Linked DNA regions of Caenorhabditis elegans. The protein of the gene in region 3 interacts with the protein of the main gene of each other region in a pairwise test. Each region holds a gene or a part of one and is shown on either strand. Other genes may lie near its edges. The genes, in order: T27A8.2, cytb-5.1 and app-1.

Evidence for each region.
Region 1: the proteins of app-1 (region 3) and T27A8.2 interact in a two-hybrid assay, tested with the Caenorhabditis elegans proteins (one large-scale study listed by BioGRID).
Region 2: the proteins of app-1 (region 3) and cytb-5.1 interact in a two-hybrid assay, tested with the Caenorhabditis elegans proteins (one large-scale study listed by BioGRID).

What each region holds. Positions count from the first base shown.
Region 1 is NC_003284.9:16,054,820-16,065,404, reverse strand, and holds T27A8.2 (Fork-head domain-containing protein), read left to right. Parts: upstream 1-6,459; 5' UTR 6,460-6,470; coding exon 6,471-6,730; intron 6,731-7,357; coding exon 7,358-7,478; intron 7,479-7,529; coding exon 7,530-7,574; 3' UTR 7,575-7,729; downstream 7,730-10,585. Other genes in the region: Putative uncharacterized protein T27A8.3, read right to left, coding at 2,115-2,212, 2,270-2,720; T27A8.7 (uncharacterized protein), read right to left, coding at 9,123-9,155, 9,204-9,275, 9,702-9,785.
Region 2 is NC_003284.9:13,997,394-14,007,978, reverse strand, and holds cytb-5.1 (Cytochrome b5), read right to left. Parts: upstream 6,056-10,585; 5' UTR 6,055-6,055; coding exon 5,941-6,054; intron 5,512-5,940; coding exon 5,383-5,511; intron 5,329-5,382; coding exon 5,252-5,328; intron 5,141-5,251; coding exon 5,056-5,140; 3' UTR 4,899-5,055; downstream 1-4,898. Other genes in the region: tbc-19 (TBC1 domain family member 2B), read left to right, coding at 1-87, 135-296, 343-432, 516-851, 904-1,083, 1,127-1,246, 1,768-1,843, 1,888-1,979 and 13 more; C31E10.6 (CCDC93 N-terminal domain-containing protein), read right to left, coding at 8,854-9,000, 9,048-9,243, 9,378-9,604, 9,651-9,870, 9,918-10,585.
Region 3 is NC_003279.8:4,962,931-4,973,515, reverse strand, and holds app-1 (Xaa-Pro aminopeptidase app-1), read left to right. Parts: upstream 1-6,426; 5' UTR 6,427-6,445; coding exon 6,446-6,565; intron 6,566-6,610; coding exon 6,611-6,991; intron 6,992-7,038; coding exon 7,039-7,473; intron 7,474-7,520; coding exon 7,521-7,574; intron 7,575-7,622; coding exon 7,623-7,762; intron 7,763-7,812; coding exon 7,813-8,180; intron 8,181-8,226; coding exon 8,227-8,399; intron 8,400-8,442; coding exon 8,443-8,622; 3' UTR 8,623-8,849; downstream 8,850-10,585. Other genes in the region: W03G9.9 (uncharacterized protein), read right to left, coding at 1,290-1,344, 1,500-1,622, 2,045-2,121, 2,171-2,291, 2,456-2,571, 2,992-3,093; W03G9.5 (Protein kinase domain-containing protein), read left to right, coding at 3,271-3,327, 3,383-3,469, 3,512-4,065, 4,214-4,471, 4,523-4,700, 5,133-5,231, 5,276-5,509; Protein pid-4, read right to left, coding at 9,278-9,505, 9,553-9,702, 9,749-10,534, 10,581-10,585. UniProt on the Caenorhabditis elegans protein: Catalyzes the removal of a penultimate prolyl residue from the N-termini of peptides, such as Arg-Pro-Pro. Has activity towards the flp-9 neuropeptide KPSFVRF-amide.

The DNA.
Region 1 (10,585 bases), on a different chromosome or scaffold from region 3:
GCACGATCTGGGAGAGGGTATCTGCGAGAAATTTCAAGATGGTAACAGTGAACTTTTCCACATTAAGTATTTCAATTTCGATTTTAGATATTTTCGAAACGAATCCCAAATCGCTCCTATCTCATTTATTTGCCAATGATGCCAATCACTTCAAAAGTGTTATTGGAAATATTGTATTGCACTCAAATTACAAAAACATCGGAGCATGCAGAAATGGAACAGACAAAACGAATGTAACTATATAATTTTTCTCATTTCTCGAATTTTTGGTCCAGTATTTCAGAATTGTACTTGGGTTAGCAGCGCTGGACTGTGAATATATCGCACCGAAGGGGAGAGTAGTGGTAGTTGCACTGGCGATGGTGGCCAATAAAATGTTCACGAACTCCAAAAGTTCTGGTCAATTCGACACTCATATGTGTGCTGCGTTGAAATATATTTTGAATACGATCAACTATCTAAGTGACAAGAGATATACCACCATTAAAGGACACGTACGTTAATATGAGGCTTTATCAATACTGAATTGGAAATTCAGGAGATCATCTATCACTTGCCAGAAATTAATTCTCTGTTTTAGAACACTGGACCACTTTCCACTTTCAGTTTTGAGAGTTTTTACAATTTCACTATGTGTGGTTACTCTAGCTCTATCACCCGATATTTTCTTCAGAATGCAGCAACTAAGTTAGTTCCATATAACAAATGACTAATTACCTACATCATGTTAAGATTTCTGCTTCACGCTAACATCCGAAGAGAAATTGCTCGGAGAGCACCAACTGATCGCTCACGGAATATGAGGGAGTTCCTAGCTGTCACTCCAGTTCCTAGCTGTCACTCCTTCAAATAGAAAAAGTTCGACATTTTCCAAAAAAAAATTTAAAGTTTTTTATTTACAGGCAATGTTTGTGAATCCTCAAGCACAGTTGTTCTCACTAGAAGCTGCTGTGAAAGCAGACGACGTCGTAGAACTACCTAATCGCAAGTGGTTCATGTTGTCAAAAGCTATTGATCCAGAGAAAGTGAGCCGTTGGACTGCTGATACCTTCAAGGTTAATGCACAATCATTATGCACGCATGTGTATGACCAGGTAAGATTTTTTTAGGTTGAAATATAGACTGAAAGTCGTAATAAATTTACAGCTGGAGCTTGTGGATCCATATATGGGCTGTTATGGTATCTCCGAAAACGCTACAATCTACATTCCAATCGCACAACAGTTTTTCCAACGTTTCCGTGGTTTGAACAAAAGGCTATGCTATTGTGAAAATTATCTATATTTATAGAGTTCGCTGTGGCGGGATTTTCCATGCTTGATAAGGAAACAGTCAGGAACTACGTGGAAAGTCTTCTTCGGGATATGATGAAAAACAAATTGTAAGCTTCTACCAAGATTCATTAGATCTACGTGTTTGAAAATTTATAGGGACAGAGTGCGTCGTGTCTACAAACTCACACACGGGGAAGATTCGATTCGAGTGAAGACAAGATGGATGAAGGAGGAGCTAGCGAAGGAACACAGTGATATTTTTTTCCCGTGAGTTTTACAATATTTTTTCAAAATTTAAAAGAAAAAATACCTGCAAGAAAGATATTATCTTTCATCCTTGATTTTATTTCCAACGTATCCATCGAAATTTCCGTTTCCAAATCCATCGAAATTTCCGCTTCCAAATCCATCTCGTTTCGATTAACTTGTTCTACCTAACTCGAGGCTGTCTCTCCAGATGGATCTGAAAATTTTGATCGGAGAGGACCGCTAGTACCTTTCATTTCCACTAACCGCTCATATTTCAACTGCTATGAAACTTTCGACGAGTATACTACATGGCTTTGCGACAAAATGTTTCTACAAAATTACAAATCTGCTTTTCAAAAAAAAATTCAACTTTTCAGAACTGAATTTGATATAAAAATGTAGAAAAAGTTCGTTCCAACGGGAAATTATTTATTTTCGGTGAAATTTTTGAAAAATAGTGCCGGAAAAACCGGAAAACGGTAACTTTCCGGCAATACTTGAGATTTTTCTTAGATTTTTCAGAAAAATAAATATAATTTCCAGATGGAACGAACTTTTTTTCATTTCTATTTCAACTTTAGCTCAGAAATGTTAAATTATCAAATTGAGAAGCAGGTTTGCACGTTTGCCGATAATTTTTCCCGCAAAGCTTTGTAGTATACAAGCTCCAACCATAGCCATCCAGCGGTCTGTAAATAGAGTTAATATTAGCATCAATCTAGAAGCAGTAGAGTAGGAACACTTACCTTTGAGAGCCATCAAGTACTTGGTCTCTTCAAGCCGATCAATCCAACAACGGCAGAAAGCCAGCGTGGCGAAATTCTTGTCGATCAATTTGAGAAGACCCTTCGATTTTTGCAAGCGAAGTGGAATTTTCTCGTCGGCGAGCTCAAAATTCTTCATATAATGCGATGTTTCCATATCATCATGAAAATATCCTTTTCCCGTAGATCCGAACGTCTCAATCGCGTAGATCTCGTTCTCCTCCATCCTCGCCTGTTCACCGCCCTTCACAATTGGAACGGTCTTTCCAGTGTGAATACGGCATTGAGCGATCGACTGTCCGTTTAGACTGCCAATCGGCTTCACCTCATTCGAGTTTCCATGGAATTCGCATTTCGATTCCGTATTCTTTGATTGTGCCGTCTGTGGCTCTTTCCATTGGGTCTGTAAAAAGTTTTGATCGGAGAGAATCATCAGTTCTTGAGCTTCACAAACCGCAAAATCCCACATCGTCCTCCCTTCACTCTGCGATCGCTGAAGTACCAGAGAAGAATCTTTAAAAAAAAATCTCTGAGTGAAAGTGAAAACGAAGATAAAAAGATAAGACAGAGAAGACAAAGAAACTTGAGAAATGATGTTACTGGGCGTTTAATTTCACACGAATAAATGATTTTATCCCAAAATTACCACTATATCTTCGTGTTTATCGATATATAGTGGACAAAGGGAGCCAAACAAATTTATCAGCGTGAAAAAAAATATAAACTGTATATTAGTGAAAGAAATTCTGTCCAACTCGCAAAATTAAAATCATAATGACGAGAAAATATGCTCAAAATGAATGATTTTGCAAAGAAATGAGTTGGCACGATTTTTCGCGCGGTCCGCAATAGTTTGTCGGTGTCACGTACAATTGTCGACCGTAACCTTTAAATCTTTAAGTCTAGAAGACAAATGTGACAAGTCGACTGGGAAATTTGATAAAAAGTTAAAAACATATTAAATATTGCTCACAGAAAAAATTGAACTTGAATTTGAAGGAAATTGAAGAATTGATGTGTGCTGATGAATTTTTCCGTGGAATTCATACAGTAATATAAAAAATATAATTTTCATAACATCGAATTTAGAATTTTCTTCAGTTTAAAATTTGAACAGTTGAAATAGTGAAAAAGCGAAATAATATAAACATTTGAAAATAGTTCGTGATAAAATTGAATACCAATTCCATTTCAGGGATGAGCTCATTTTCGTCGAAAGTCCAGAAGGCTCGGCTGATTTGGAAAACATGGGGGATTTGACGGAGAAGGCTGGCGGCGAGGGAACGTCTGGAGCCCCAGCTTCATCATGAGCTGTTTTTGTTGATTAATTAATATTGCAACTAATTATTGGTTTGTTACTTTTCTTATTAATTTCTTTTATTACTGCTTTTTTTGTTTGTTGTTCAGATGAAGTTATTTTTGTTACGAATTCTGCTACAATCAACCAAAATTATTTGTTCTGGGGCTTTCATGAGCCAAAAATGCTTCATGTCTTTCCGGCCGCTACATTTGGACCCATTTCTACCGTACTCATGCCCGTTCGCAACGCACGCGTGAAGCATGCTTCCTTTCGCAATGCACGCGTGAAGCATGCTTGCTTTCGCTACGCGCGCCTGACGCATGCGTGACGCGCGTCTTCGCTTGGTCCTCTCAGACGCGTGAGCGAAGCGTGTGAGACGCGCCACGCATGAGCCGCGAATCACCTGTGAGGGTTCAATCCCCTCACCGAACCAAGGTGGTTCTGAGTTGCTCACATGCTCAGATAAGTGGAAGTTCGGAAGATTGATGATCAAAAAGGTGGTGTTGAATCTTATTGTTTCATTCAACATTGACAAAAGATCGAAAAATGTTTTTTTCATTTTCATAGAATTGTCTTCAACTAGGCTTATACTCTTTTCACTCTCTTTTTCTGCTTTAGTTTCCCACAGCGTTTGTCAGAAATAACAAAGTTTGTATGATTTTTTTCCAATTTTTCCGGAAGAAATTTATGTTGGTAGGAATGTTTTGAACTGAAGACAAAAACTCCTGTAGCGCGACCAAAAACGAATTTCTTGACCCAGAAACGTACCCATAATACTAAAAAAAAATTAGCAACCATTTTTAAAAAAATTCTCCCAAAATTCCGAAATTTTTATTTTTGTTTTTTTTGTGCCTGTATATACCTGTTGAAATTGGAATTCAAGCCAAAAACCCCTGTAGCGCGACCAAAAACGAATTTCTTGACCCAGAAACGTACCCATAATACTAAAAAAAAATTAGCAAACCATTCTCATAGAAACTCTCCAAAAATTTCAAAATTTTTTTTTTGCAAAAAAGTGCAGTCATATGTATGTAAAAAAATGAATTGAAGACAAAAACCCCTGTAGCGCGACCAAAAACGAATTTCTTGACCCAGAAACGAACCCATAATACTAAAAAAAAAATTAGCAATCCATTTTCATAGAAATTCTCCCAAAATTCCGAAATTTTTATTTTTGTTTTTTGTGCCTGTAAATACCTGTTGAAATTGGAATACAAGACAAAAACCCCTGTAGCGCGAACAAAAACGAATTTCTTGACCCAGAAACGTACCCATAATACTTTTAAAAAAATTAGCAATCCATTTTCATAGAAATTCTCCCAAAATTCCAAAATTTTTATTTTTGTTTTTTTGTGCCTGTTGAAATTGTTGATATTGAGGAAACCTGTTGAAATTGGAATTCAAGACAAAAACCCCTATAGCGCGACCAAAAACGAATTTCTTGACCCAGAAACGTAATACTAAAAAAAATTAGCAATCCATTTTCATAGAAATTCTCCTAAAATTCCAAAATTTTTTTTTTGCAAAAAAGTGCAATCATATGTATGTAAAAAAATGAATTGAAGACAAAAACCCCTCTAGCGCGGCTAGAATATAACTTGTAGGTCCAGAAACTTATCCATAATCTTTTAAAAAATTTAGAATCCAAATCTATGGAAACCCTACCAAAATTCCAAAATTTTTGTGAAAAAACTTCTGTCGAATACCATAGGAATTCTTCTAAACTTTGAAAATTTTCATTTTTGTTTTTTGCGCCTATATTTGGATTACCGGGGGGAGTCCCATAGTTATTGGCGGGACATTCAAATTTTCTAAGAAAAAATTTAGGCGAGAAACTCAAATTTCCTGAGAAAAAAAAACATTTTGGCAGGAAATTCAAAGATTCATAGTCCGGAACTAGATTTGCTTTCTTTCCTTGTTAGTAGTGCGGCATTTCTTTTTGCTGCAAGATATGCCGTTGTTGTTCTGCTTATTTCTGGAAAAAATTTCATTTTAATATTTTTGTGAAAATTTTCTGTTTTTCCATGTTTTTCTATGAATAACTTTTATGGAAATTTTTATGAATTGTTTAGCTTTAACAATCCTTCTAACAGTTAGGAAATGACTAAATATTATAATGGATCTTTTAAAAATTTGTGGAATTTTTTTTTATTTCGGGTCTGATCGTGCGCCAATTTTGGAGAAACCAAAACACTGTTGCTTGTTTGAATCCCAACAATATTAAAATAGGATTACTGGAAACGTGAGTCAAATTTAAAACTGAAGGTAACTTTTTTTTTGAATATTTTTATTATGATATTTGGACATTTTTAAATTTTAATGTGAACGAGTTTTAATCTTTTCCCACAGGCCGTTGTCCATCTTCAATTAAAGTTTTTTTTCATCTTTACAATCATCAATTTTATAAAACCTTCAACTATGCTCAGATATAGCCGACTCAAACTTTTCATAATTTCGAAATTCAATTTTTTTTCAATTTTTTTGTTTCCTTTTGATTTGGTCATTACGAGTTCGTTGTCGTGTCAAGATTTGACCTACGACAAGTTGGTGTTGCCTGCAATGCGTGAGTCGCGCGACAGGTCTGCCCTCGTCTTCCGCACACTATTATCGATCGATGGTTTATGGCCGTTTGCTGACATTTGAATGTGCCATTCTCTCATATCCACAGCTATACTTTTTTGTGGTTTTTTTTTTGTTATTTTTCATGTAATTTTCGCCTAACTGAATCTGACGTCTGCACGATTTAAATTTTTTCCCACTCGGCAAGTTGCCGCAATATAAGATCCAAAAAAACAAGACATTTCTGTATTTCCTTTATTATGTACGTGGCAAATAAATTTGAGAACCTTCAACTAACTAAGTAAATTTTCATTTTCAGCTACCATGACGTATTTCACTCACGAAATGAACCAAATTATGGGGCTTCATCATCCGGAAATGGCGATGCCCAAGTTCAAAATGGTCGCCCTGGTCAGTGCTGCGATGGAAGAAGCGGATGACGTGTTTCCGGAGATTGAAGTAGTTGTCAAGTGGATCACCGACTTGTTCCCGTATTACAAAGTGTTTCACGATATGTACAAATGGGAGTTTGTTAATCATGTGGCCTGGGTTCTGGACACCGAACTGTGCTTTCGTCGAGAAAGGTGAGTTTTGTGAAGTTTGTAGAAATATTTTTAACAAAAATTTGAAACATTTCAAATTCTTTTTCAAATATTATCGGAAACTGAATTTTGTTGTCAGATTTGCGTGTAGCGTTTAAAAATTGGTTTTCATATAATTTTCAACAAATTCAAGTAAATCCAGAATGTAATTACAACAAAAAATAAAAATAAAGTTCTGCTAAAAAATATCAGATAACAAGTTATATAGCCAAATCATACAATTGCTGTTCATATAATTTAGACATAAGAACCAGAACTGTGCGGCAACCGGCAACCAAGTTGCCGGTTGCCAAAAATTTGCCGAAATTTCGGCAACCAAAATTTGCCGGTTGCCAAAATTTTTTGGGTTTGGCAACTTCGGCAATTGCCGGTTGCCGCACAGCCCTGATAAGAACCCCACAATTTCTCCAAAAATTTCACCAAAATTTCTTTTTATCAGTTTTTTGGAAAAACAAAAATATGTGAATACTCATAAAAACTGTATTTTTTTGGTTTATAAATTTTGCTAAATTTAATCACTAGCACTTACTTAAGAATAACTCCAAAAAAAACTTAAGAAATAACTCCAAAAACTATTCGTATATGTTTTTTTATACTTTCAATTTGCAGAGACGTGAGATCTGGACTATGGGCTTATGAAGACGGCAACAAGGATATTCTGGATGTTGAGGAGGAGTTTCGAAAGGATATAGACGAGTTGAAGCAATATGTGGAGCATCAGGTGGAAATGGTATGTTGCCATGGAAATTTCAGTCATATTATATTAAAAATTGTTTTGCAGACGGATCTTGCTGGACGGATGTATTCGATGTCCTCAACCGGGTGATCTCTTGACAAGTTTTTCATAAAAATATTTCATTTATACATTAATTCAACTTATTCACTTTTTAGATTTTATTGAACCAATTCTGTATATAAAAAAGTTTCCAGTTCAAAACATTCCTACCAACATAAATTTCTTCCGGAAAAATTGGAAAAAAATCATACAAACTTTGTTATTTCTGACAAACGCTGTGGGAAACTAAAGCAGAAAAAGAGAGTGAAAAGAGTATAAGCCTAGTTGAAGACAATTCTATGAAAATGAAAAAAACATTTTTCGATCTTTTGTCAATGTTGAATGAAACAATAAGATTCAACACCACCTTTTTGATCATCAATCTTCCGAACTTCCACTTATCTGAGCATGTGAGCAACTCAGAACCACCTTGGTTCGGTGAGGGGATTGAACCCTCGACTGTTGACTCCACGGTCGAGTGCTTTACCACACTTGACCATGTTGCCAGCTCAGGATGAGTCACTGATTGCGTTGAGTTGGCGCCATGAAAACGTGGCGCGGTGGCGTAGAATGGCGCAATTTGTGCTGAAAAATGAACACTAAATGTGGGTAAAGTATATATTTCTAATATCAGAATTTTGCACTGATTTCAATGGGCAGCTTCAAATTGTTCAATTTTCAATCTAGCAGAAATTGGGACTTTTGCCAAAAAAAAAAATAAATCGTCAAATTCTATTTGTAAACCACGTTAAACATTATTAACTGTGAAAATGGTAAATGGTCCCATATCAGGGTGTCCCACAAGAAGATGATCTATAACGAAGTATCATAATATATCAATAAATCCAATTGACAACAGGTACTTTTGGTACACCCCTTTTGGTTGAGAAAAGATGGGGCGCAAAAAATAAAGTCATCGAATAAAAAAGTGAGACTGGCACCATTTATAAAAGTGCCGTAGCACGGCGGACAATTTGCAAAATAATTTCCAACAGCTGCAACACAGACAAATTAATATGACTTGAGGTTTTAGCAAAACTCTGTTTTTTTTTCGATACTGAGCTGTCATCAAAACTGAATTGCATTGTTTCAGATATCTATTTCAAAAGTTATTTGAGATAAGTTCAAGTCCGAGTCGGATTTAAGTTTGAAACCACTAGCTAGTCCACCTTCAAACTTTAATTTAGATCAAAAATCTTTTAAAAACAATTTTTGTGGCCACTCGCGCAGGTAGCCATCCTCCCTGCTGCTAAATTCGCTTTTAGGCGGTCACAGATATGGGAAGGGGCATCTGACTTTTAAATATAAAGTGCCATGACTCGTTTTTTTTTTTCAAATTTGCCGCAGGGAGTTGCACATTCTGTGGATAATCAATATGGTCGCTGTGGGGGGTTGTCCATATGGCCAGGGGTAAAAATCGGATAAGATGGTGCTCGTTTTTACCCGTTAAAATTTAGAAAAAAAGCAATATTTTGAAATGCTAAATTGTGTTTATTAAAACCGGTTAAACAAGACAAGGAGTGTAGCAAAAAGATAGTCTGTGAAAGCTAGCGAAACAATATAAAGCAATGTGTGTGTGTGTGTGTGTGTGAAGCCAAATCATTTTTTCCCGCCGAACAAATTTGACGTGTTCTGAAATCAAACTGGATTGCATGTAATGTAAATTTACACAAGTCATACCATCGATGAAAAGTTTTCAAACTTTTTAATGATTTCGGAAACAGATGAACAGGATGTATACGTATTCTCAACCTGAAAGTTGATTCAATTTGGGTAAGCTATAAATTATTTTTTGAATTTAGTGGGCATTATAGTTACAGACCAGGGGTGTGCGGCAAATCTCAAAATTTGCCGAGCTCGGTAAATTCGGCAAATCTCTTTTTCCAATATTTGCCGAGCTCGGCAAACGGCAAATTCGGCTATAAAAAATGTAGAAAAAAAATTTTGGTCGACTTCCGTTAGTGGCAAAAACTGAGTAATTGTCACTTTTAGACTGTAAATAAAAAATTTTCAAAAAAAAAATTGAAAAGTTTTATTATGATATTCGGTCATGTTGGGACCATAATAGTGGTTATTAACAATTTTCCCACTGGCGCTACTCCACTTTTAAACTAGAAATTTCCTTACATAATCGCAACTTGAAAATTTTGAAAGCTCATAGAACACCTATAATATTACCTTATTGTCACTCACAACACTTATCAATCCATTTGAAACTGATGTGTCCTCCTTCTTTTTGCGCTCCATTATGATCCAAACCATATTTTTCGGCTCTGGTGGCTCAGGTCCATAGATAAGCGGACCTGGCATAATCTCGTTATGAAATAGATCTCTCAGAAAAAAAATACGGGAAACGGCAATATGAAAGGAATATAAAAGGTGGAAGGTGATACATAACCATTTGTATGCAAATTTTCACAGAGCTCGGTTTTGTATAGGACAATAAAGTAAAAAAGAAACACGGTTTCGAATTCTTTTCAGTTGATAAAATGTGATAGGGGATTGGGGGTGGACAAGAGAAGACAGACAAGTTTGAAAAAAGAATCTAGAGGTTACAGTTGGAATAAAACAAAATCACCCTGCTGACGCAATTTTTGGAAGAAAAATCGAATAATAAAACGTCATACTTGTTTGTTTTTTTAAACCTTTTTTTTTTGAAAATCTGAAACAAGTATTTTTCCGCCGACTCAACTCGGTAACTCAAAAAAATATAACTTAAAAAACAATAATTTCCAGAATGCTTTTGAAATGTTTGCCTGGCACAATCAAAATCATGAGCATAGGAGGTCAGACTCTTTTTATTTTAAAGGTGGAGTAGCGCCAGTAGAGATTTTGTCTAAATACACTTATTGTGATCCGAAATGACCAAATATCATAATAAAACACTTCAAAAAATTTCCGGCATTTCATAATTTCCAGTCAAAGTTTTGGCAAATTTTCAAAATTTTGAAAAATAAGAGCTTTTGAAGAAATCCAAAGCAATGTCACGTGTTCTGACCCCTACAATGTTTTAATGCAAATAATTAAAACAAAATGACAGTATAAAGAATGTAGAAAAACAA
Region 2 (10,585 bases), on a different chromosome or scaffold from region 3:
TTTTATGCAAATCGTTCGAAATCTGCTAGTGAGCACAAGTACAATTGGAAGAGGTTTTTGGAAGAAAATGACTTTATTGATCTAACGGTGTGGATTAGAGAAGTTTTGATTCTCAAATCAACATCAATTTTCAGCCAGAAACTAAAATAATGTGCCGAAAAGGTATTCCAAATTCTCTGAGAGCTACAGTGTGGAAGATTCTAATCAATCAGCAAGTTGAAGATTTGAAAAATGTTTATGGAAAGTACTACTACAGAAATCTGTGTAACATTCAAGGTGGTGAAGATGAGAAAACAGTAAGATATCAGAAGTGATTACGTTTTTATATACAGACAATTGCAGTACTCGGACGTGCATCAAAAGCAAATAAATTTGGATTTATTAAGAACAATGCCGAATAACGTGCATTTCATGAGTGCAAACAGTAAAGGGGTGAGAATACATTTTTTGGAGCTACAGATACTCCTTTTTTCAATGTTAATTTTGTCTATGTAAAAATAGCTATGTCCATATAGGTAACCCAACTCTTACAAGTCCTTCACGCATTTTGCCTCCACAACTCCCAAATCGGATATTGCCAAGGAATGAACTTTCTTGCGGCTACTGCTCTTCTGTTCGTTGGCCCTGAAGATGCGTTTTGGTTTCTAATTGCGGTCACCGAGCGATACTTTGACAAAACCTATTTCGATAGCAACCTTACCGGTGCACAGGCTGATCAAGAAGTTTTGAAAGGTCTACTTGAAGTTCAACATCCTAAAATTATGAAACATCTCAAGAGTTTGGATATTGACGTCGCAAGTTTTACATTGAACTGGTTCATTTCATTGTTTTTTGATGCTGTTCCATTTAACGTTAGTCATTCTCAAAGAAGTTGTGAATAGTTCCATAATAAATATATTTCAGACTTTGCTCAGAATTTGGGACTGCTTTTTATTAGAAGGCCCAAAAGTGCTCTTTCGTTTTGCAATTGTGCTTATTGGAAAGCATGAAGAAGAGATCATCAGTAGAGGTGACGCTATTGGGATTATGAGAGTATCCAAAGCAGCAACAAAGTTGGCATTTGACGAAGAGGCAATAGTTAATGTAAATTATATACATTTGAACTACTTCTAACTAGAAATTTTAGATGGCATTCCGGATACCCAATTTGCCAACAAGAATTGAATTGAAAAATATGCAACTTCAATACGTAAATTTGCTGGCAGAACGATTAGAGAAGAAAATGAGGCGAGCTAATGAATTTGTGGTTTGTTATTCAGTTTTGATTAGGGCTGGCATATCGGTTTTTGGAACTTTGAAAATTTTTCTATGGGTAGGTTTTCACGGCGGCCGATTCGAATTTGGCAACTCACTATTTTTTTAAAAAGGATTAAATGACAATCCGTTCTTCAAGCGCTATGCACTGCGGATCTGGGAGTCAGCTACACTGCCTGGTGGTGATCCCACTGGGCTATAATTTAAGCCTCGTCCTAGCCGGGGACTGTGGCCGATAAAATAGTCGTGGATTGCTCCACCTCTCAATAGAGGCTGGGTGAACCTAGGGGGTGAGGCCGGACTTGAACTCGTGACCTCCAGATTGCTAGCGGCCACCCCTACCGAATGAGCTACTCGCCCCTCAAATAACTTTATAATGAGTAACTAAACTCAAAAACTGTCGGCCGTAGTGAATTGGGAAATTTTCGAAATTATCAAAACCGGACGACCGGACGCCCGATATGCCAGCCCAAGTTCTTATTAACCATCCCCTCGCAATTATACAATTTGCAGAAAAGCATTGCTAATAATTTGACTAATGAAAAGCTAATCTCAAATATATTCATCGACACATTCACTCCAAACACTGGTAAGATATCACAGCTGAAGCAAAATTCAAAGACTAATGTTTAGGATTCATAGTTTCCGGTCATCATTTAATGGGGAAAATTGCTGGAATTAAAGTAGTCAAGGACAAAGCATGTATGAAGAATATTGATGTTGAAGTAAGTCATTCTATGAGAGTTTCTCTATATTATATATGATGATGTGTTTAGTTCGACTGTCGTGTAATGTCAATTTGCATGGTACGGAAAGATATGGCCTATGTGAGCTTGATATCAGGGTATTTAATTGCAGCACACGTAAACAGTGAAAATGAGTGGTATGTTAACTTAATTTATTGCAAATACTAGTGTATAATTACTATTTAATAAAAATTGTGATTAACCATTATTTTCGATCAAAAAATTGTAGGAGCATTTTATGGGAGCTCAAACTTCCCGACGTGGCAACTTTTCTTATTCACCAAGAGAACACTCTGTTTGCTGGGCTCGCCAATGGTATTCTCACAGTCTTTGAAAACGCTGGAGAGCGTTGGCCAACCAGTGTCCAAATGTGGCACATGCCACTCAGTTCCTCTCCGTTGACAAACGCTGTTATTCATGACGATACATTGGTTGTAGCAACTGCTTGCAAGTTAATAACCCTCGATGCTCAATCTTTGACGACGCTATCGACCACCCATGTGGCATCGTCTAATGTTGGATCGGGTGTGATTTATTTTGATAAAGTGAGTTCACGTGAAAATATAAATGAGATGAACTCATTGAACTTAAAAAAACACAAAAACTGAAAACCTAATCAAATCAAAAAAGTTTTTATACTCATAATTTCTGTTGCCAGTGTAGTTAAAGGTGGGGTACCGAAATCTGAGAAATATTTTTAATTGACTCCAAATTTTCCCCTGATTCCGAATTTCCTTGATTTTATATTTGAGCTTAAAATCGCGATTTTCATTTGTGCACCCACGAGCTTTTTCAAATGCGTGCCGAAATAAATTATCGTTGGAGCGCGCTTGCTTAATTATTCGGAATCATGGGAAAACTTGGAGTCATTTTAAAATATTTCCCAGATTTCGGTACCCCACTTTTCAAAATATATTCAATAATCGGACCAATGAAAAAAAAATCTATCGCCTTCTCAGATCACCTGTATGACCGAATCACCGTTTGGTATTTTTCTAACTACCAACCACTCAACATTAATTCAACTATGGCATGACACCGCCTGCAATTTGTTGTATGATATTTCTTTCGACCACAAAACACGGTTATTTCAGTTGTCAATAACAATGAATATTGGAAAGTTTTTCAGAAAACCATCACTATCAGACACAGAAAATAGTAACTATGTAGAATCAATGCTGTTTAATGATGAAACGTTATGGTTGGGCACTTCTGATGGATACGTTTTTATTTATAACGTTGAAAATGAAACAGGAAAGGAGGAAGTAAAATATAAGCTGAAAAGGTTTTGATTTTAATTTCAAATTTAAATTTACAGTGTTTTCTTTCAGATTTCCTGGTGAAAAACGGCCGAGTCGGCGTGGATCGTCTGCAAGATCTCAAAGACTCGGTTCTCTTATTGAGAATAATGATGAAAGTGATGATAATGAAACTGTACCAATCTTTTGTGCTGAAAAGCGCGCAAGTCGGGTTAGCATTTCCATAGACAGAGAAACACACCAATATAGCAGTGAGAAATTCTATTGCAAAACATAATTCTGAAACATTATAGTTCCAGTTGCTTCATTCCAACAAAATCCAGAAGATGTAGATTTTCCGGGCAGCACATACAGGTAAAACCATACAAAAAATTAGAAAACACAACTATTTTTCAGCAGATTAAACAGCTCTTCATCGAAAACTTTGAGATCTCCCATGAAAAAGGGATTTAGTGCGGATTCGGCGGTTTCTGTTTTCAGCTCCGAGCCCAATGAGTTAATTGAAAAATGCGATGAAAACTTTCTGTCAGTGAAGAAAGAAAAAGATTCTCCGAGATTCAGGGACAATAGGTTTTTATTCAAAAACTTCTGACCAAATTCATTTTGTAATTGCAGATTCTTCAGTTCAACGAATTCCAGTTGTACTTCAATGGAATATGACGACACTTTTGAGCTATACTCGGATGAAGAACGATCAAGAAGAAGAGTTGCAATAACGTCTCATAAACGATTTGGTTAGTTTGGAATTTAAATATTGAATTCGTATTGACAAGAAATTAAAGCATCCGGCATAGTTTCAGCCACTCCATCAAAACAACTTAATCTTCAGCGGAAAGATTTAACATTTGATGATCCGTACATTGTCCCAGTCCCAGGTACATCTCAATATTTTACCGCACAGTTTAATGATCGCTTTTTGTTTTCAGAAAGTGCTGATAAAGAAACATCGAACGATGTAGAGGACAGTGCAGTGTATGGCCTCATTATAATGTACTATCAATAAGAGAGTAACATGGTTTTTTTTGCAGGGTCTCCAGCGTCAGGTTGTCCTTGTTCATGAAATTGAAAATATCGGAGACTTCCGTCAGAAAGATAATTTCTAGCGGGTGAGCAAAGTTTCAAGAGTTCACACAGTTGGAATGACGCAATTTGTGAACAAAGTTTTTTTTTCAACAATTGTTAAAGCGATTTTTTTACAAAATTGAATTGAGAAATTGAAGCTAAATATTGGGTAATGTTTTTACTAACTTAGTTAATTAGTTAACTAAGTAAGTGTTATAGAAAAATATAAACGACTTCAAGATTTTTTTTCGTTCACGCAACATTCACTCACTTCATGACAAGGAACTTATGGCATATCCAAGAAATTTTTTTCAGCGAGCACCACATTCTTACCTGCTCTGGAGAGTTTGGCGCCGACGAAGCAGTGTTGCTTTGGAGGAAAGATATTTCCACAGTAACTAATTCCAAGTTAGCTAACATAAAAGCTGTTTAATTTCAGAATCTTTGGATCAATGATCCAGTAACCCACGAAGTTCCAAACATACCTCCATCGTCAAAAACGTCCTCTTCAACACCAGCTTCCATTCAATCATTATCATTTCGATCGAAATGAAAACAAAATATTAAAGTCCCTTTTCAGTGTACATATGTTAATCACAGTGATGTATTTATTTTCGATAATAAAATCACAAAATGACATTTATTGGATAACAATGAAAAAAAAATCAGTTTTTTTTAAGTAAGATAATGCCCCAGTTTTCAAAATCATGGCGAAAATAGTGGATCAACAGTGATTACGCAGCGATAAGATAATAAACAAGAGCAACAATGACAGCAAGAAGGGCGAAGTAAACAATGTTGTCGGTTTGCATTGACTCTCTGAAAAAATATTATTATTCTGAGCTGAGATGCAGCGTTTAGTCAAAAGTTAACTTTTAAAATCATTTTTAAAAAAGTTCAAATTCAAAATAAAAGTATAACCCTACTTACCCTCCTCTCTGCTTGTTATCCTGTTCGGTGGTAGACTTCCATTGCTTCTTGTCATACGAGTAGGTTTTTCTCTCAGACTGGAACACAAAACAAATGAATGAAAATTATAAGCAAAAAAGGCAAAAACTTACTGCAACGACTTCTCCGATCAAATACTCGTCCTTCATATGCCTAGCGTCAGTGGAGTGCCCAACATCCTCGAATGCCTCAGTTCCATCACTTCCAGCCTGCTCAAGAAGGACCTCGCAACCTCCCGGATGCTGAAAAAAAAACATTATTAATTTTTAGTTTTGATGCGCCACGTGGTGCCAGCCTGTCCCATTACGGTTTGATCTACAAAAAATTCGGGAATTTTTGCCCCTATTTGTTTTCAAGTATTTCGATATCTTAATCGTCATGGTTTTGATTGTATCAAACAGTAAATTTTGTTTTAACGATAAAATAAGAATACATATTTGAAAGAGACGGTAACGGCTATTTTTGATAAAGTTGATGCTAAAAATTTTTGAGCAAGAAATCCTATCAATTGCAGAGAAAAAATTTAATTCCTTTTCATTTTTCATAGATGTCAATTTCTTTCTATTGATCAACAATGAATCTGCGTTTGTGTTATTCGTACCGTAAAGTGTGGTTTATGTCTGCCTACGTGCTTCGAGTACGGATTTCTAAATATCAGAACATAATCTTACCTCGTCCAAGAACTTGGTCACATCAAACACCTTGTTTCCAATTACAAGCCATGCTGATTTGTTTGTGTTGTGCTCGGCAATTTCCTTAAGGGTGATTTGCTTAAGATCGGCCATTCTGAAAATCATTTCGTGTTATTAAAAAATATATAGATATGAGAAGTATGGCAATAAAAAACATATTAAATTATGTTATTAAAATACAGGCCTGCAATACAAGACAGAAAAGACAGCAGCAATTGTGTCAAGGATGAAGAGAGAAAAATAGCTGACCAAGTTGAAAGGAGAAATAGAGAAACATGGGAAAGAGAGCAGAGAGACAATTTGAACAAACAAATAATAACGGCGGAGAAGAAATGGACGAGAGAATTGGGCAAAAGGAGTAGTGTGCCTGGGAGGGTGGCCTCGCGATGATCAATAGGCAATGAGACTATACTCTAACCTGATGTCATGACAACAGAACATGAGCATAAAGCACATTTTGGGAACACTTTGGAAATGTTAGTTTTGTGATTTCGAAACATGTGTATAATAACCAAAACGTTTAAAAGTAGAGATTCTATGAAAAATGATGAACTTACTTACTTACTTACTTAGTTAGTTAGTTACTTAGTCAATCCGTTCTTCAGGAATTCGGGGGATTCCTGCGGATCACAGACAATTATTCAAGAATTCATATTTTTTGAAAGTTGAATTTAAAAAAAACACCTGCAGTTTTGTTCGGTTTGTAGTGGTTTCAGACTGTTGACTAGTCGATTCAAATTGTCATACTTCATTATTGTCAAAAAAACGTTGTGTCAGAGTGTCCCATTCCGGTTTGATCTACGCAGATCTACAAGAATTGCGGGAATTTAGAAACAGACTTCTCAAGTGATTTCACAAAGTTGCTGACGTCGCATTTTATTGGGAAACAATTTCCCGCTTTTTTGTAGATCAAACCGCGATGGGAAAGCATGACACCACGTGAAAAAGAGTCCTTATTTTAATTCTAAAAACGTAAAGCTAACATCTCAATATTTTGAAAGACGTTGCTTCAAATAGAAAGAAACAAATTAGTCGAAAAAAACGTACATTTATATTTCTACTAAAAACTGTATAATAAACGAATCATCTCAAAACAACTGTTTATATCAGAATCTTAAAAATAAATTTAAAAAAAAAGCTTCAATTTTCAAATTTAGTGGAAGTGTTTAAAAAGGCAAATAGAAAAAATAAATCCAACTCTATAAGTAACGGTAGTTTTAATGTTTTAGTTTTTACTTAATTTAAAGCTGAAAAATAAAACTATCTACTTGTTGATTTCACAAATAGTTGCGTCTATTCATTCCAACTTTGGAGAGAAACAGAAATTGGGATGACCTGGATAGAACAAGAAAAGGGGAAGGTGCATGAGATGAAGGGCGAGATGTGACCGCCAAGGGATTAATGTACGCAGGCTACGCAGGCAACGTGGATCCGTTCCTATCGATCGATATGCAACGAAATGAAAATAAGTCTAGGGCTGCGTAGCCTTTTATACCAGTTGCTATACGCTCTCGCACCAGACCAAAGTAGGTTCGCCAGTATGGTCAAATGGGGCTAGAGAATGCTAGAGAAGAGAATCTATGGTTTGTAGTCTTCGGAACACACGTAGTCAAAGTAAATTTTCAAGAGAGAAAAAGAGTAGGAGAGTGATCAAAGGTGGTTGTGTATTTGATAAGGAAAGATTGTACAGATTGAATTTAACGTTGAGGAGAAAATAGACAAAGTAGTTTGTTGGTCATATTGACTACATGTTAAATTCATTTTCAATTTTGGAGGAAATGTGAGTAATACGACGAAACATTATTTTGCAAAATGGAACGTATCGTCGAAAATTTTTGAGTTGAAAATCTAAAGAAACATTTTATTTGAAACTATTCAAAGTTGGCTATTGCTCTTAAAGAACAATTTTTCCACAGTGTAACGTCTTTAAAAAACATACCTTATAGGCGGAGTACCGATATCTGGGAAATATTTTTGAATGGCTCCAAATGTTCCCCTGATTTCGTATTTGGGCTTAAAATCGCAATTTTCATTTGCGTCCCCATGAGCTTTTTCAAATTTGCGCCAAAATAAATTATCCTTGGAGCGCTTTTGCCTCATTTAATTTTCTCCTTATATTTTTACTTTCTTTTTCAGTTTTTCAGCTATTTTCGTTCATTTTTTGATAATAAAGTGTTCAATTCGCAGGAAAGAATATATTTTTCAAAACAAATGAACGAAAATAGCTGAAAACTAATTAAAAATATGCATAAAATTAAATGAGGCAAACGCGCTCCAAGGATAATTTATTTCGGCGCGGATTTGAAAAAGCTGATGGGGACGAAAAAGAAGTCGCGATTTCAAGCTCAAATATAAAATCAGCGAAATTTTTTTGAATTTTTTCATTTAGATATTCGGAATTAGGGAAAATTTGGAGTAATTTAAAAAAATTTCCCAAATTTCGGTACTCCACCTTTAATAATGTAACAACATGCGTTAAAACTATTGTTATCTCAAATATTCATTCCACTTTTTTGTATTTCCAAAAAGTTCCGAGCAAAAGAGCTTTTTCGTAATCTTATTTTCTCTATGGAATCTGAAATTAGTTTGTCTTTTTTGTAATTATTCATATATACTCACAGAAATGTGCTCACAGAATTTCAAAAAAAAAACCAACTAGATTCATTCAATAAATCAATATTTTATTAATAAAATCCGGGTATTACGTGGCGAGTGGGCGGGGGTGCGACAATCGAAAAATTTCAGTGACAATGGTGGAAGGGAAATCATGAGATATGAGAAATCATTGTTGTGATGGGGAAATCGTATACATAGTATGAACACAAGTTGCAAAATGGCAAATAAAGCAGCGAAAAGAAAGAATTATGGAATGTTTTTTTTTGATTTGTGTGTCTACTTCTTGAACGCTGCATAGTCCAATTCCCAACTTTTTGGGAGTTCCGAGGAGTTGTTACCAGCACCCGCTTTTTTGAAAAGATCTTGTTCCCAGGTGCTCATATATTTTCTCTTCTGGAACAGCAAGTCGCTCAGGGCATGATACTGAAATTTCCGACTTTCATTTGTAAGGTTTCAAAATGTATTCTTACTTTGGCATTTTCACGAGAAGCGCACTTCACCAGATGGCACATTTTCTTCGTGTCAAAGCTTAGACGGAGATTTCTCTCACACAAGTTTCTGCGTTGATCTTTCAGGAACTTTGCCTTTCCCAGCCAATCCGACAAGAACATGCAAGCATCGCTTGTGTAGCCAATGTATGCAACACGGTAGTCGTACTCGGTCCTTCTGAAAAAAAAATTTGGTAAGTGGGGCAGCCTCTCCTATGGTGCCAAAATGACCAAACATCTAAATAAAACTTTTTTTCAAAAAATGTTTGCAAACTTATAATATCAGAAGTATGTATCAATTTAAACACTTACTCCTTTGGTTGAGGCATTGAATTCACATGACCGATCATCTTGTTGACTGTTGACAAAATTTCATTTATGTCGCTCGCAATTGTGTGATCGATTTCGTTGAGCATGCTGAATGGATCATCGTCAATGTTGTCGGCCATCGAACCTTGCTCTCTTTTCTGGCGAACTTCAATATACTCCTCAAAGGCTTTTCTGACAGCTTGCTCAATGCTCTGGGCGATTTGAGCTTTCTGAAACAATTTATTGGGAAATACTATACAAAGATCCGTCAATAACCTTCTGCAGAATCAACCTTTCCTTCCGGTGATTTTCCAATTTTTCTCTACGAAATGGACAATACTTCTTAAATGCACCATTTTGATCTTTATTTGCAGCAAGCGTCTTCTCAACTTCCACAGCTAATTCAAGCTCTTGAGAAAAATCTGTGTGAAACATTGATGCCCGACTAATCGTTGTGGCGACGACGTCGGTGATTCTCTCGACCTCGAAAGAAGTCCTGAAACATTAGTCATTTAAGTGAAACAGTGCAATTAATAAACTCACAAAAAAGAAGTGTACTTAGTTGCGGCACTTAACTGTGCTTCCAATTCCGAAAACCGGGCATACATGGCATAGTAGAGAGCCGCCTCCTCTTTGAATCGTTGCTCCAGTTCAATAATGTTTTCAGCCAGATGTAAGTTGTCGATTGCTGAGAAAAGTTTGTCCGCAAACTGTTTGGTGGTATCCGAAGATGCAGAATAAATTTTGTTACTCAACTTTTTGAGATCTTGGCGCTGCTTCTCATATTGTGCCTCGGAAATCTCGCTTAATCCAGTTTTGTGCCTTCCTTCTTCGTCAGAAGGAACAAATGATGGATACTTCTTGACGCCAGTTTGTCCATACTGAAGATACTCAGCAATAATAATTCTGCTATCAGCTTTCATATCACGAAGAATTGCATTGTCGAACAGTTTAATTCGTGCTGATTCGGTGTATTGATTAGCATTTGGACGACGCAATGAAGATATGAAGTCCAGTGCTGCGGCGGCTTCATCTTCATATTTCATATTGAAGCAGGCCATGAAACACTTGAAACGATCCATATCCATGGTTTGGCGACTGATTCGTTGTAACACCCAAGTGATGATATCCACCAGAACCGATGAGTCCACATTCAGGAATTCTTGTTCAGTTGCATCAAACGGGCAGTTGATTTTTTGAAGAGCATATAT
Region 3 (10,585 bases):
CGTGGTGTCAGAATGTCCCATGTCTGTGTGATCTACAAGTACTATAATACAAGAGCGGGAATTTAGACTCCTCAACAGATTTCGAATGGTCAAAATGGGTGAAAACAAAGGAAAATGACACATTGAAGACGTCTTCATTGGAAAACTAAATAGAACATGAACCCTCTACCAAAAGACGACCCATAATAAACAACAAATGAATACTAAACAAGAGGAGCCCACCCACCGTTGAGGGGAGGAGTAGGGTTGGTTCGGATTAGCATACACACGGGTGGCAGTAACTGGACAAAATGTGAGAGAACATGTTAATTAAGGAGACACAGACAATTGGCATATGGTATTATTGTGTAGTCTCTGTGGTGGTAAGAAACGTGATTACAAGTCGAAACCTTGGAAATTAGCGTTTGTTAATTGAAAAAATTGAGAGAGGATGGAGGGGAAAGATAGAAGAAGCCGCCCGGAAGAAATTGCACAACGCCAGCTGTTTTAGGATTCTCATCTCGTTAAATATTCCTTTATATTTCATTGAGAAAAATGAAAAGATTTTTTGAAAAATAAGATTTCAAGTGGGAACTATTTCAAAAGAAACTCAAATTTTGAAATTTGAGTTAGCAAAATTTTATTGAGATATCAGAAAAGTGACAATGTTCTACGGAAAGTCATCAATGCTCTACATAAAGCTGTGTACTGTTTGGCAGAAGACTGGAGCTCTGTTTAGATGACAAAGCGCTTCAATAACCTACCACCGGAATATTGCAAAGCTACAAAAATCTGAAAATGTGCAACAGAAAAAAGACTTTCAAGTGAACGCTGAATTGTTTAACTTTCATTAATCAAGTTAATTTAGTCATTATGCTTATTTCCAACTTATTCTCTTAGTTGAAATAATTGGCATATTACTATCTCTATCCTGTCACCACTTTCAAATGTTCATTGAATATTATATATATACATATATATATATATTCATTATTTTCGCTCCTCTCTCTTCTCATTTCCCATCATTCCTCTCTTTCATTAGATCCCAATTGAATTGAATCCTCCCTAATGCATTCCCCTCTCCCGCTTACTATAGCTCACCTGCGCAAATGCACATAATACTCACTCGATTCCGCTTATATACCTTCTGTCACAATAACAATAATAGTAGTTGCATGGTGTTTGGTTTTGGAAACACACATACTGAATTACGGGAGTTAAGAGTTTTATGGAACAATTGAAAAGAAATAATTCTGACATAGAGTTATTTCAATGTTTAATAGTGTTACAAAATAAATTCTGAAAATGTATTAGAAGAGATTTCTTTGCAGGAAGCGTTGAAAATTGGCAGATGATGAGTGTGGTCTGAAAATATGTTATATAATTTCAGACAGTTTTAGTAAACTCTCATTGAATAGAAATATTGCATTTCTAAAAAGTCAGTATCACAAAACTGTTCCAAAATACTTTTGTGTAAATTTCAGAATGAGGGGTAATAAAAAGCGACTTGAAAATCTTACCGCTGTGCTTTGGTTTCCCCAGGAAAGCTGACCCAAACATTAGTGTCCCATCTTGTTTCATCAATATTCACATAAAACATTGCAGATCGGCGACCATTTTGCCATCTAACACAGTACTTGTGTCTGGAAAAAAAATCATTTATCTCAGTATAAAGCAGTTTTTCAAACTTTGTGGCATTTGAAAACTAAATATTTATTTTATATTTTAGACAAACTAATTTTTTCCTCTAACTTCTAAATAAATTACATGTAGTTAGATAGCGAGGAGAGCGTTGAATTCTAAAAACTAATAACCAAAAACATTTTTCAGTAGGTGGTTATGCTTTAACACAGTTGCGGTGAGACTAAATTAACTTCAAAAGATCCACTGTTTTTGAAAATTTGGCAATCTACCAAAACTTCAACTGAAAGTTTTGAAAAATCTGAATATTTTCAGAGTGTTTAATTAGATTATTATTTGGTCATGCGTGGGTTTATACAGAGTCCCTACTGGCGATGATTAAATTTTTGAATTTTGAAAGTTGTTAAAATAAACGCATATGTACCTTTGAAGCATATTCAATGAGACAGTGCAAATGAATTGAACGACGTACTTACATGGCGCGTATGGTATACTCCACATCTTCAAGATTTTAATTAATTGAAATTAAATAAATGAAACTTTTCCCTACTTGATCAATCATTGCATTTATTGCTCTCTTGCCATCTGTTATCGGAGACCAGTTTTTGGGACGAATCGGTTGCTCAAGTGTTTTCTGGCGATGTTCTTTTGGTATTGTGATAACTTTTATTCTGAAATTGATAGTTGGTACTATGAAAATTTGAAAAACAAATTTTTTAATTTTGCTTGAAATTAAAACATAGTTTTTTTAAATGGCAAAAACAAGTAATTGCCACTTTTTGATTGTTGATTAAAAACTTCAAATATTTTCTCCTCCAATATTAAAAAACTAAACCTCGGAGTTGTAGTAGCTGTCGATGAAGATGAGTCACTTGGAGCATTACTGGGAAGCTTTTGTCTTGACAACTTTCGACGGACTTGTTCCACAGATTGGTCTAGATTTTTCAGAGTCTGAATAATAAAGTTATCAATTTTTTCTCAGGTTTTGAAATTTTGAGGGTCTGAAAACTGTTTGTAATTGTAATTTGGGGATCAATGTTAAATTTAACACTTAAGTAATAGTGTTCCGTGAGGAGAATGAAAAACCAAAACTGAACAGAGTTATAAAATGAATTATAAAATCATAGAAAATTAACGGAAGTCGATCTACCAGGTGTACTTCTTTCCAAAATTAGTTCCAGAAATAGAAATAAAAAGCGAACATTTCCAGAATTACGTAAAAGTTAATGCGAAATAGCGAAATATTGACCAAATTTAAATTTCTATCTCAATACAAGATTTGGTTCAAAAATCGGTTGAGCTAAATTTGATAGAAAATTGTTTGAAAAAGCACCGAGGCACAAAAAATTCAATTTTTTAAAGTTTTCTTACCTGTACATGCCTTAACGATGCAATGAATGATGCTGAAATTACAGCTCTTGCATATCTTCTACAATCCCGTAGATCTCCAGAACTTAAAGCTGAAGAATACATTCACTAGTAGTTCGAATTTTATATAGTATGCCTTTCGAATACTCCGTGAAATTCCCAGTGAACTGAACCATTAACCAATTTGACGTTTTTTTCTTTCGTTGGTTTTCTCTCCAAGACACCACAATTGTTAGTCATTTCTATCAAAATTTATGCTCGGATTTGCCGAAGATTCAAAAAATGACGACGAATAGACCAAAAATCAAAGTTGCATCTGTTATAAACCGAAAATATTTGGTGAGTTGGGATAAAAACATAGTTGTATTCAATAAGTTAAAAACAAATATTCCAGGCATTTAGAAAACTTGGAGAAGGTGGATGTGGAGTCATTTACGAAGTTGCGATGGTGAAGTGCCCAGGGAGAAGATTTGCGTGCAAGGTAATAATAGATTTTGACATTCTTTTAAATTACTACTTTCAGGCTGAAACTACCGTATTTGATGAGGATCCAACACTGCCAATGGAACACAAAATAATTTCAAAACTCAATGAAAAGAATTCTATCCACTGTGTGGAACTTATTGATAAAGGACAAAGCGACAACTATCAATTCATTGTTATGACACTTTTAGGACCATCACTTGATGCAATTCGAGCGACTCTTCCTACCAATAAATTCTCGACTTTTTCCACTTTAGTCATGGGAATTCAAGCATTGGATTCGATTAAAGAAATCCATGATATTGGATTTGTGCACCGAGACGTGAAGCCGGCGAACTTTGCGATAGGAGCACTTGGAACACCGAAACAACGACTTGTTCATGTTCTAGATTTCGGAATTTCTCGTCAATATTTGGTGAAAGATGGGGAGAATGGAGGATTGAGAATACGGAAACCAAGGAGAATTGTTCCATTTCGAGGTACTCTTAGATATTGTTCAGTGGCTGCTCAAGAAAGAAAAGAACAAGGAAGACATGATGATTTGTGGTCCTTGTTTTATATGATTGTCGAATTTGTGAAGGGATCACTGCCATGGTGAGTGGTGTTTTCATTTTTGAAGCTTCTGTAAAAATCTGGAAAAAAGTTTGAAGTAATATGAGCCCCACCGATAAAAATACAGTCCTAGTGTGTGCCTTTAAAGTGGCGTTTCGTGTTAAAAAAATCTTTAATCATTTTTTTTCAGGACGGGAATAATGGAAGAAGAGAAGGTGATTGTTATGAAAGAAGATGTCACGGAGCTATTCAATGGCCTTGAGTCCGAATGTGCAATGTTTGCTCAACACCTGTCAGTTCTTCGTTATCAAACGAATCCAGATTATGCACTTCTTCGAGATCTTCTCATGAATATTTTTGTTCGACGAAATTTCAATGCTCAAATGAAAGTTGATTGGGAGAAAGGTGGACGATATGAAAGCCATTTTGAGAAGAAAACTTCAACTTTGTAAGTTTTTAAATATTTTGAATATTATTAAGATAATTTGAATATGTTCAGGCCAGTTGTTATCGAGAAAGACATGACTGAAGTGGATCTGTCAAAGTTGCTGAATGTTCCGCAAAATGAGAGAAATATAACAATGGAAGAAATTATAGCTGCTGGTAAAACGACAGAGGAAGAGGGACTGAATACTGCTCAAGATGATACGATTGTTGAGGATGAAAATGGATTTTTGGTGAGATTTACGGCGAAAGTTGTTGTAGGTAGGCATGAGGTAGGCACGTAGATATGCAGATATGAGGTTGAGATCAGACCTATAGGCAGGCGCACGAGGGGTAGGCATGAGGAAGGCACAAAGTTAGGCAAGCAGAAAGTAGACAGGCAGGCATTAAGTTAGAACCAGGGAATGAATAATGAAGGCATGTATGAAGCCAGGCATAGGAAATGCAGTTTTGAGGTGCGCCTAGGCAGGTAGGTATGAGGTCAGAATAGGCATACGGGATCTGAGAATCAGGTAAGTGTGTGTTGCGTGTAGTTCTAATGCAAACGCGTAGGCAGGCATGGGGGAGCTCAATATTAATAATAAATCGTTATTAGGCAGGCATGCGGCAGGTAGATAGGCATGTAGGTAGGTGCCGTAGACAAGAGATATATTTGAAACATTCAGGGAAAACAAGAAGCCAAGCCGGCGACACCATCTGCTCGATCTGAAACCAGTAAGAAAGTGAAAAGGAGATATATTGCGAGAACACCATCGGCGCATAAGGTATAGAATACGTTATTCGACGTATTAAATTTTCCAATTTTCAGATTGAACAGATTGAAAAGAACTGGAAGAAGAAAGAGGAAGAAGCGAATAAAGAGAAGTTGCTGAAGAATGCACGGGCGGCACGAAGAGCCAAAGAAGATTTTATTGTTCCGGAGGATAATACGGTTCAAAAAAGAAAACTCGAGAGCACACAACTGTCGTCTGCAGTTTCCACGAAATCCACTAGAAGTATTGGAAAGAAGATTTTGCCGCCGAAATCATTTGAGCTTCATTGATAAATTTTATTTTTTAATTTTGTAGACACACAGACAGATGTAATCGTGCTAAAAATTACGATTTTGAAAAAAAACAATTTTTCTTTTTCTTAATTTTTTTGAATACGAAAGAATGAATTTCCAGACTGAAATTTTCATTATTCATTAATTTTCGCACGCGTAAATTTTTGGAGAGGAAATAAAAAACCGCGATGCGAGTTTGGGTTTTGCTGTTCACAGTTTGTTCAACAAATTTATTATGAGTATTTTTTAAAGGTTATTTTCTAAAATTCTAGACCTGAATTTCGAGCGAAACTCATTTTCAAATCTCCTCCTTTTTTGACCCATCAATAGAGCGCGCCTTCTCAGCTTTCGAGTCACCACCGATTAGAGGCCTGTGAGACCTCGTGTCATAAAAATTTCTGAAAAAAAGCGTGGATAATTCGTATCAGGACACGAATAAAGTTAATATTTTAAATGATCCACAGTGAAATTAACATTTTCATTGAAATTTTCGTCTTTTAATGATATTTCAAAACGTTTCCTTTGCGGTTTTCCAAGTTTCCACTTCTTGAGTCTAGAGATCTCGAGTCCGTAGATACTCTTCTCATTTTTTGGAACAGCGTTCGTTCTCGATTCGGCAGTTAATTTTTCATTTTAAAACATTTTTAGACTTCAAAAATAGTTATTTTTCAGTTTTCTTCTCAAAAAATTTCCACATCCTCTGTTGTTTTCATTCAATAGAATTCAGAGATGATTTTTGATTTCTGTATGTATAAAACCATTTGTGATTGCGTATTAAAACGATTGATCGACAATTTCGTCGTTGGTTTTATTCGTTATCAGCTCTAAAATTCGAGAAAAATGTGCAGACGATTAGACGCTTGGTTTTTAAATTTCTCTTTACAAGTTTAGCTTTAATTTTCTTTTTTTTTCAGATCGGGCAGAATTGGAGTGATGACAGCATTGGAAAAACTCGCAAAATTGAGATCCTTGTTCCATTCGGAACGGGTTCTCGCGCTCACTTCCAGCAAGCCGATGGTCGCGTATCTTCTCCCAAGCACTGACGCTCATCATGTTGGTTTTTAGGCTTCAAATAATCTTCTAAATGTTAATTTTCAGAGCGAATATCTAGCCGATTACGATTTTCGAGTGAAATTCCTGTCTGGTTTCAGTGGTTCCAATGCCTACGTTGTTGTTACCGATAGAGAAGCTCTCCTTTGGACTGATGGCCGATATTTCACTCAAGCCGGGAATCAGCTTGATTCCAACAGCTGGAAATTGATGAAACAAGGACAGCCCGATTCGATTACTGTCGTTGATTGGCTTGTGAGAGAGCTCGAGCGTGGATCCGTTATTGGATTTGATCCAACTCTGTCGACGTTCGACGCTGGTTCCAAGACATTTAAACGTCTGAAGGCAGCAGGTCTTCAACCAGTCTCGATTCCTGGAAATCTAGTCGACGAGTTCTGGACTGATCGGCCAAGACTCGCTGGTGAGCCAGTAAGTTGATAGATCTATACTGCGGGATTTAATGTTCCACTTTTCAGGTAGTCGTGCTCGATGTTGAAGACACTGGTCTTACAACTTCAAAAAAAGTCGAGAATCTTCGGGAGAAGCTGAAACAAAAAAAGTGCGACGCAGCTGTATTTACTCTTCTTGATGATGTTATGTGGCTTCTGAACATTAGAGGAAGTGATATCCCGTACAATCCTCTTGCATATTCATATCTCTTCGTGGCAATGCGCGAGATTCACGTATTTATCGACAATGAGAAACTCGATGAGAAATCTCGAGCCCATTTCCACAAATCGAATGTATCGATTCATCCATACGGAGAAGTCTATTCATGGATATCCAATTGGCTCAAGGCAAAAGAAGCGAGCAAAGAGCCTCACATGGTTTATCTCACACCAGAAACTAATTACGCTATTGGAAGCATTATTGGCGAAGAGAACTCGATGGTTGACACTTCCCTGGTTCAGGTAATTCCATGAATTTCTTGAAATTTTTGAAATTTAATCTTTTTCAGACCGCCAAGGCCACCAAAAACGATCATGAAATGCAAGGAATGAGAAACAGTCATGTAAGAATGGCTACAGCATCGTTTAGGATATAATTTAATTCTTTCTAGCTTCGTGATAGTGCTGCTCTTGTTGAGTTCCTTTGCTGGCTCGAAAAGGAGTTGCTCTCTGGAAAAAGATACACTGAAATCGAGTTAGCTGATAAGATAGACCATTTGAGAAGTCTTCAAGACAAATATGTTACTTTGAGGTTCGTTTGTTAAATATTTAAAACTACATTTAATTTATATTTATTTTCAGTTTTGATACCATATCAGCTGTCGGAGATCACGCAGCACTTCCCCATTACAAGCCTCTCGGAGAAAGTGGCAATCGTAAGGCTGCAGCCAATCAGGTGTTCCTCCTCGATTCTGGAGCTCATTATGGAGATGGAACAACCGATGTGACGAGAACTGTGTGGTACACGAACCCACCGAAAGAGTTCATTCTGCACAATACTCTTGTATTGAAGGGACACATTAATTTGGCACGGGCCAAGTTCCCTGATGGTATCTATGGTTCTCGTTTGGACACGCTGACTCGTGATGCTTTATGGAAGCTTGGTCTCGATTTTGAACATGGTACTGGACACGGTGTTGGACACTACCTTAACGTACACGAAGGACCGAGTAAGACGAAAACAGTAAATGTAACTGTTTGAATATTTATTTTCAGTCGGAATCGGTCATCGTAGTGTTCCAACCGGTGGAGAGCTTCATGCCAGCCAAGTGCTTACCATTGAGCCAGGATTCTATGCCAAGGAGAAGTACGGAATTCGAATTGAAAACTGTTACGAAACAGTTGAAGCTGTTGTCATGTCTAAAGCTCAGAACTTCTTGACATTCAAGGTATACCCAGATCCCAGGAACTTTATAAACTTATTAATTTCAGTCTCTCACTTTGGTGCCTATTCAAACTTCGATCGTCGACAAGTCTCTTCTGATTGAAGAGGAAATCAATTGGCTCAATCAATACCACGCTCGGGTTCTGAAGGAAGTTGGTGAACATCTTCAGAAACGCGGAAAAACGGATGAGCTGAAATGGCTCGCAGAAGCCTGTAAACCAATCTAAATATCTGGAACAATTACAACATGTTTTATATTATTTTAACCGGTCAACGTCTTGTTGAGCAAATTTGTGCTCAATTAACTATTTTTTATCACAATTTCTGGATCCTGGTGTAAAACTTATTCTCCCCGAATGATTCATCCGTATTCCCCTTTTTTTCTCCTGTCGTTCTTTCTCGCTTTTCCGTAGATTTCCTGTACTAATACTTGAGAATGAATCTTTTTCTTTTGTTAGTTGGAAAATTGAAACATAAATAACAATGCCGGCTAGCAGGTCTTAACAACTGTAAGCTAGAATGTTTGGTTGACGACATTTTGCTGTCGGATTTTGACATCGGTGCAGAGATTCAAGCCAAAGTGCTTACAAGTGAGCCAGGATTGGATGTAAGGTTAATAACGAATTTGAATTGAAAACTGTTGCGAAACTGATGAAGCTGTTGTGAACTGCATTCTCATAGATCCAAGATTCTCGCTTTTAACTTCTCCTCGATTTCCTGTATTTACAAATTCTTGAAAATGAATAATTTTTATTTGTTGATTCGTAAACTGAAATATTTAAAAAAAAGAAACAAAAATACGGACCAACGGGTCTTAACAAGTAAACTAGAATACGGTTTGATGACACAGATGAAAAATAATTAAAGCTTGAATATCAAGCACTAGTTGGCCGGCTTCATATAGCTGCCGCTCGCGGGAAATTTGAATTTTTGCGGAGATCTGTCCACGAATGGCTTCTTATTCTTATCGGCGATCCATGACGCTGGAATTGTGGAGATGCCCGGGGATGATTCCGCATTTTCAAGCCATTGATCTGTGCAGCATAGTCCCATGCAATCCCTATCCTCACAGAACAGCTTCGACATTGAGCTTTCTTTTGGTGGCAGCAACTGAAAATAGGATTTCGTTTTTGAAAAAGAGTAATATAAATTTATACCACAGCTGTTTCGATGTTACTCCAATCCTTTGGCTGGCCATTAAAAAAGCTGTTCTGGTAGATCTTCCGTTTTCCTGTATCAAATGATTTGATGTATGCACGACCCGTTTTCCTGATGTGCGCGATTCTCCGGGCAACATCTTCTTCGGTCTGAAAAAACAAGATACACTGGATGTGTATGAGAAAAATTGCTCACCTTGGCACCTTCAAATCGAACTTCAAGGATTGGAGTTGGGACATTCGCGAACTCCTGCGGCAATTTTCTCACAGTCAGATAATTCGTCTTCAGAGCTCTCATACTTCCTGTGTCAATCTCGATATACAAATCGAGTCCGGGTTGACTTTTGTGAGGACGAATACCACAGACATGACGAGCTCTTCGGAACATTGTACCCTCTTCCTGAAACTCCTGGAGGCACAAAATAACATTGACTCTCCAAAAATATGGCTTCATCGGCTTCCCATCTTCTTGTTTTCCTGATCTTTTGGGGTCTTTGTCGGTTCCAAACGTATCTCTTTGAAGATGTGATAGTTTGTTGTACCAAGCCAAGAATCGAGCGGAAAAATCTTTCAGCATTTGCTCCTGATCGTGTTGTTTAGGGATCACATACGCATGAAGATTTTTGTTGCTGCAGAGGACTTTTCCGATTTCCATCTCTCCCTTTTCGTAATCGAAAACATTCACATGAGGTATCAATGCAGTCAGCGCATTTGAAATCTCTTTGGGCACGATGGAGGCTACATGCTCACAGTTCGATGGTGTTTTGAAATCCTCGTCGAGATTGGAGATTGTTGCGCTCAGGAAATTATTGTTTCCAACCGAAAATTCTGGGTTCGTTCTGTCCGGGCGCTCATCACATTTCGTTTCGAAGTTCATGAAACGGCCAGTACAAGATAGCGATCTTCGCGAAGGAGTAGGGATGAATCCGAGCTGTCTGTGCTCCCGAACGAATTGTGATGTGGCCGTTTTCTTCTTGAGCACCTGCAAATTATGTTTATTAGTGATTGTTCATTGTTGTATATATCACCTTTA